2 linked regions of the Drosophila melanogaster genome follow. The protein of the gene in region 1 interacts with the protein of each later gene in a pairwise test. Each region holds a gene or a part of one and is shown in the gene's direction. Other genes may lie near its edges.

What was found. Proteins that work in one complex are often made in the same cells at the same time.
Region 2: the proteins of Csl4 (region 1) and Mtr3 interact in a two-hybrid assay, tested with the Drosophila melanogaster proteins (2 studies listed by BioGRID).

The regions. Positions count from the first base shown.
Region 1 is NT_033779.5:11,122,074-11,125,412, reverse strand, and holds Csl4 (Csl4), read left to right. Parts: upstream 1-1,845; 5' UTR 1,846-1,942; coding exon 1,943-2,101; intron 2,102-2,155; coding exon 2,156-2,611; 3' UTR 2,612-2,839; downstream 2,840-3,339. Other genes in the region: Nup160 (nucleoporin 160kD), read right to left, coding at 4-413, 487-668, 726-1,217, 1,271-1,373, 1,438-1,534.
Region 2 is NT_037436.4:19,911,571-19,915,611, reverse strand, and holds Mtr3 (Mtr3), read left to right. Parts: upstream 1-1,896; 5' UTR 1,897-1,982; coding exon 1,983-2,133; intron 2,134-2,191; coding exon 2,192-3,021; 3' UTR 3,022-3,207; downstream 3,208-4,041. Other genes in the region: Rpn1 (regulatory particle non-ATPase 1), read right to left, coding at 1-421; Prp3 (precursor RNA processing 3), read right to left, coding at 3,284-4,038.

The DNA.
Region 1 (3,339 bases):
CACATATAAAGCCTTGGCAATTACATTTCGGTCAAATCGACCAGGATGAAATATATAGCTGCAGTAAGTTTCGCGTGGATCCACTCCCTGCTCCATGGTGAGACAATACCGATCCGGTGGCGGTTCTAGAGCAGCCGAAACCCATTTGATTGCGTTGTTGGAGGCAAAATATGCTGCCGAGACATGGAAATCGCCTTCAGCGTTGCTCCAAAGGGCCCAGATGTGCGAGGATGTGGCATCGAAGTCGACCAAATCCGTTTGCGGCGCCGGCACCATGTTCTGCACCAAATTGATAACGCTGGCATCGTCGGCATCGGGCATTATGCTAACGCATATAAACTCAGCTCGGGAATTGTGCGAGAGAAATAGACAGAAGTTTTGATCGCTTATTTTTCGGAGCTGGCTGTTTTGTGCTGTTAAAAAAAAGAATATAATCCCATTATATCTAGATCATAAATCTAAATCGTAATAATATTTTATACTCACGTCCTTGAGCTGCTGAGTCCTGTCCCAGTTCGGTGGAGCAGTTAATGCTGGCTACAGTCTGCAAGTTATCCACTGACCATAGACGCAGCTCATTATTGCGATACAGAACCAGAATGAAAATTTCCCCCCCGATTTCACTGAAAGCCATGGACGTGGCTGCCTCCAACGTTTCAGAGCGGCCGCTACAATGATTAATGAAACATTAGGGATTTGCCATTTATCGAGGTTTATCCACTTACGTGAGGGCACCCTTGAGATTCGACAGAAACCATGGCATTAGCTTCGGCTCCTTGATTTCGTGGGTGATAGTATGGCCGGTGGAGCATTTCATAACGTGAAGCAGTAGTTTGCTCTGATACGCCACCGCAAAGTAGGCTGACTGGGAGTCTTGAGTGAGGTACGATACAGCCGCGTTGGGCATAGTTCCAAAGCCATCCGTGACATAGTAAGTGCTGGGATCATTGATCTTGTCATTGACGTCGTAGAAAATGGACTGGGATAGCAGATCCTCTGGAGAAGCTGCGCCACCTTCCTGCCCAGCGACCTTCAAGGGAAACACATAGCGATGCACACTGCTGACCGTGACCACCAGCAGGGTGACGGATGTACCTTGCTCCGTGAGTGATACATTCAGCACAGCGGAGTCGGTGAATCGCAGACGCAGGTGATTCCTCTGCAGGGAGATGTCCAAACTAACCTCTGATAGTTCCAGGACATCCTGGTATGTCCGCCTGCAAATCAGTGGCCATGTGAAACTAATTTAACGATTCTGATTTGCACTTACCAATATATGAAACGGTTTCTGGTCTGAACATTTTTCGTATTCTTGTAGCAATAGCCGCCGGAGGTTTCGAAGGTTTTTAAATCCTGCAAAGTGCTCTGGGTTCCTACATTTTGCGGAGGAGCATTTGGTTACTCAGAATTTCTCTGGCAATCTTGCACGAAACTCACCCGTGTTAATTTTCACCTCGATCCACTCCGCCGGACTGAGGTTCCGCGGTATGACCTCGCGGTAGCTCATGTTGGCTTGCAGTTTGGATGTGGGCATCTTGCTAGCACAACAAATTAATATAAAAACCTCAACGAAAACGGAAAATTATTGGCGGCACCGGCGTAAACACGCTCAGTAGTAGTGTTGGAAAACGCTTACGCCAGCGGTGCACACCAGGCAAAATAGTCGACATAGCTTTTTATACTCACATACAAAAGTTAATTACAGAAGTTAGTTAAAAATTGTACATTTTCCTAAATGTAATTTCATGACAATAAAGTTTATTATAGCAAAGCAGGAATGATATAAGATGCCTTTAAATCTTGTGATATTAAGAAAGTTGTCGCTAGCATTTTAACAATTGCCACATATTGGTCACACTGCATTGCACGTGTGTTTCCATTTGTTGATGCGGCTTTATTATTTAGTTTATTTTTTAAAATAAAAACTGTCTCTGGCCTAAAAATGAGTGAACAGCAGGATGAGACTGTAGTCTGCCTGCCCGGGGAGCGACTCTGCAGAACCGAGGACAGCATAGTCCTGGGCATAGGCACCTACGAGCAGAATGGCTACATTTACGCCTCCAAGTCTGGAATTGTCAACATCGAAGATTCGGGTGATAAAGTAAGTAATCCTGGCATTTCGTTGACTCTGGGAACCAATTAATCTCCATTTCAGTGCCAGGTGGTTAGTGTGCATAAGCCCGGATTTCATCTAACCATCCCAGCCACCGGAGACGTGGTCACAGCCAGAGTTCTCGTCACAACTCCAAAATTCGCCAAGTGCGCCATTTTCTGCGTACGAAATGTGCTGCTGGAAAGCAGCTACCGCGGACTTCTGCGCAAGGAGGATGTCCGGGAGACCGAAAAAGATCGCGTCGATATCTACAAGTCCTTCCGGCCGGGCGATGTCATCCTGGCGAGGGTCATTAACCAACTGGAGCAGTCCTTCCTCCTGACCACCGCCGAAAATGAACTCGGCGTGGTCATCGCCTATGCCAGTGATTACCGGAAGACCCGGGTGCCCATGGTGCCGGTCGGCTGGAGCGAGATGCAGTGCCCCCAGACCACGATCAAGGAGCCACGGAAAGTGGCTAAAGTTCTGCCTGAGAGTTCAATAAATGCTGTGAAATAAGGTCAATCGCATGTTAATCAGAAGCTTAAATTCATTTGTGGAACTAAAAATGTTTTAGTAAGTGATTATTAGCCAAATAATTATATGTCTTGGCAACCAGAGGACGCTGAATATGGATACAGGTTTATGTTAGCATTTTATTTCCATAGCAACGTTGATAAGTAGCTATTTGACAGTTTACATTATTTCAAATCATTAAATAAATCTATAATTAAGTTGTAAAAGTTCAAAACAAGCTGGTTTCCATAGTTTAGCTTTTATGATTGATACGTATCTTATATTTGTTATTTATTCATGATTGGTTTGTTATAATGATTCAACAAGAGATTAGAATTTAATATTGGATCGTCATGCAATTGCTGTTTTTAAAAGTATCTCTATAGATTCGAAAGTCATGGGAATAGATTAAAGAAATTGTGCGGTAATTTGTTCTAGCAACTTAACAAAACATATTTTATGTTTAAAATAATTCATAAACACAAGGTAATCTAAATATATGCAGGCACATGCACTTTATAGGTTGGCAACATAAAAACTTTTAGGGTAAACGACAGGTACTTATTCCAAGTAATCCGAATTTCAATAACATGCAATTGCACGTGTTCCCAAAAAAAAAAATATATAATCATAAAGGCAAATAGATGGTTGTAAAGGCTCAGGCGTCAGAGGCGTAAAAACCCGTAGCCCGTTGCCAATCAATGTCGCTGGGAGCTGTTGTTGATGGATGA
Region 2 (4,041 bases), on another chromosome or scaffold:
GGTAGGCCAGGCAATCCTTGCCGCTGCCCATGGTCATCGAGAGCACTGAGATGATGTCGGCGCACAACTGGCGAGCCTGCTCATTGGGCATGTGCTTGTACACCGTCTTCATGGTTTCGTAGTGCGGGCGCATGAACTTCAAAGGCTTGGGCACCGAGGTCATCGACGTCGTGGAGGCTCTGATCAATTTGGCCATACTCTCCAGCGTCGGCTGGTAGAGCTTGGCATCCGGCTCCTGCAAGTGCTGCACCAGCAGCTCCAGCTCCTCCTGCAGCTGCTGGTCCTCGTCGGAGAGCTCCGGCTGCTGCTCCTTGTCCTTGCCGTCCTTCTTTTCATCCTTCTTGGCCTTCGGATCCTTGGCATCGCCTTCGGATGCCGCCGGCTTCAGCGGCTTCTTCTCCAGCTTGGTCTCGCCCGTCATGATTTCTTTCCTAGCTTGTCGGACTTAAGGGATTTAATTGGCACTACGTTTTCTTCGATTGTAATGCGGTTTATGCGGCTTTGTTCCTTCTTTTTCGTTGTTGAAACAGCAGAATTACACAGCGCTTTTTGCAGTGTGACCGCGCGGCGAACGCCAGGCTATGCCGCGCTAATCTGTTTAAAATACCAGAATAATCAGCTACCGTTACCACGAGCTGGTAACGTTCAAATAGTGATGGCAGTGACTTTCACCTTATCGATTTTTAGGGGCCTTGCCAATCAAAATTGAAAGGTTTAGAAAGTGAAAGAAAAAGCTAACTATATTTGTGTATGTGTATATATTTAAAAATGTTGTGATATGCAGATATTTTAAATATCCATTTAACTTCCGGCCTTTGCAGTTGTATTAGCTGTAATTCCTTGATATCAACGGAGATCGTTTATATTTTCAAACATGTTGGGCTACTTATGACACAATGCGTTATTTTCTGGCCAAAAAACTCTTGTCTGCTTTTGCTGCGGAAGTATTTGGTGAAGTAGCGAGTCCCAATATGCAAAAATGGGTCTCTTGAAATTAACTGATCTAATCTGATTTCTTCAGAAATTGGTTGATGGTTGGTTAGGATGTTAATGGATCTCTCTAGTTCCAACATTCATCCTGCGTAATATCTTCGTGAGTTTAGGAAAAACATTATTTCACTGACACTGATTCATTAGATGAATTCTCGGCATCTCCTACAAAACTGTCTCCGTCATCGGACCCCAAAAGCTGTGAATTTGAGAAATCCTCTTGATCCGAGGTATTGTGGTTCTAATTTTTTTCTCTCTTGACTTTCATATCAGCAGCAATGGCAGAACTTTTGGTCCTGCAAAAAAAGGAATCAGTCGTCAGGTGTATATAATATTAGAGATATGGGTTTCAAACTATGAATGGGTAACTCCGAAATAATGGCTATTCCGCATGGCTTTTACTTGTCTTGAATTTTCTTTTAAGATAATACTAAAGCTAGCCTCGCAACTCTTCACTGAAATTCAAAAGTAAAATCTATAACGCGGGCATATATCCTACCATCAGTATTCTATTCCGCGACACACTATTCCAGGCCTGATGCAAGGCCATCCATGGCAGTGCTTCTTGTCGGCCATATTCCCAGAAATCTCTTCAGTCTGTACCGAGTGGATTAGCGTTATCTTAAGCGTTGTTTTACACTTCGGCAATCGATTTTTCTGCGATTATATTTAAGCTCTTTTTTCTCTTAGTAACAAAGAAAATACTACTAAGTTATCAATTATCAGAAGGAATCAAAACATTATTTAGACTTTATAAATAATTAGCACAATTAGCACTAATAAGAAGACTTATTTTAGGTTCTTATTATTAAGGTTCTTTGAAGGTTTTCATTCAAATACGATAACCCACGAAACGATACAGAATCGGTATAAAATATCGAAATATACAAAAATACCAGATTTGTATTTTAATCGAAAACTTAAAAGTCTTTAGACCACATGTGAACTCAGTTTGTTTATTTTTATATTCAATCAAAAGATATAATATAAATATGCTAGCGGTGAACCAGACGAAGAACACCCTACTCGATGGAGCCTCCATTGAGGAAGAGCCGTACACAACTCCGCAGGAAAGCGAGGATTTCTTTGAGAGTCTAGACAAACCGTCGAGGGAGCCAACACAACTGGCACCCAGAAACACCTGTTAGAAGTGCACATCCTTATTTGTATTTCAATTTCTCATACCTCTTGTGACTTACAGTCATCCGCGCCGGTGTGTTGACCACAGTGAGAGGTTCCGCCTACATGGAGTATGGTAACACCAAGGTTCTGGCCATTGTGGCCCCGCCAAAGGAGCTAATCCGCGCCAGCGCACGCAGAATGAACATGGGTGTTCTGAATTGCTATGTGAATTTTGCGGCCTTCAGCACAGGGGATCTAGATTCGGTGCCGGAACGGGAACGCCACCTGAGCAGCATGCTGACCAAGGCCATGGAGCCGGTGGTGTGCCGCACGGAGTTCCTTAACTTTCAGCTGGACATACGGGTGCTTATTCTCGACGATGACGGCTGCCTGCTCAGCACTGCCATCAATTGCTGCGGAGTCGCTTTGGTGGAGTGCGGCATTTCCACTTACGACTTAATTACGGCCTCCACAGCTTGTATCTATCGGGATCACGTCTTCCTGAATCCCAGTGCCAAGGTTGAGGAGCTGCTCTGGAAGCATCGCAACAGCAGCACCGATAGCACAACCAGCCCATCATCCGCCCAGGAGCACGGCCTGATCATTACCGCCAGCATGGATACCTTTGAACAGATCGCCCAGTGCCAGCAGTGCGGATATCTCAGTCCAGCCACCTATGTAAAGCTGCTGGATTACACCCTGGCCATTAACAAGTCCCTGAGAGAACTAGTCAAAGGCGTGCTCACGAAGCGGGTGAAGGAGCAGCACGAACTAGATCTACGCGAGAAAGCCGAGACCGCTCTAGAAGATCAGCGTTTGGAGGAAATAATCGAGAAGCTAAAGAAGCAAGGACCAGAGGAGTTTATACAATCGAACATCCGGGAGGATCCCTATGTAAAGAGGCAGTAGTTGGTTGAGAATAAATCATACTAATATAAATCCCAGATCTATTTGAACAACAACCACCACTTAAAAAATGATTACTACAAATATTTAGAGTCCAGATAAAACTTTTATTCGTTATTTTTGCACTTCCAAAGTTCCGAATAGCTTCGAAAATAATAACATCAAATGCGTAGCGCGCTTCAAAACTTTAATTCAGACTTGTATCTTTCCGAAAGTGAATTTGTAGAACTGTAGTGTATCTAGCAATTCTTAAAATGCCTTTTATCTACTGCTGATCCGTGGAGGCCTCAAGCACGGCTCCGGAGTAGGCCAGATCCCAGTAGTGTTCGACCTGGTGCTTCTGAAAAAACTCACGGGCCATTTTTTCCATTGGAAAGATCTTAAACTTGATCTCGCCAAAGTGCCGTCGCTGACTAGTCCCCTCCCAGACGAGTACGCATGAGTTCGGCACGTCCTGGCCGTCATTGCCCTTGGCGTTGTCCTCCTCCCACTTAATGCGCGTTAGCATGAGCCTGCGATACTTTTTCTGCTGCTTGGGCCCACCCTCCACGACAACCACACAGCAATCCCGGAACAACACCACGCTGCCGGTCATCTGCAGCTGCTTGGCATTGGTCTCCACCTTGAATTTCTTGCTCTGGTTGTCCTGCAGATCTCGTATGCGATAGACGCTGACATGTACACCGCAGCTGGTGTCTTCCCTCAGCTTGCGCTGCTTCTTTTCGCTCTTCTGCTCGCTGGTCAGCTTGCGCGCATTGTTGGCATCTTCGTGCGCCTTCTGCCGCTTGGCCATCTGGTCGCGCACATGCTGCTCCATTTTGGTCGGATCTTGTACGGCCTCCGAGCCAAGCACACGCATCAGGTTGGATATGCGCAGTTTCGGCTCTGGTGGGGCCACCAAACCCAGTCGGATCTTCTCCTGCTCCTCCTTCCAGGCCTCGCGACGGTTCTGGCGACGAAGCTTTTTGCGCTCTTTCTTTGTGAGGAAAACCGGCAGATACACTGGTTTCAAGGGCTCATCTG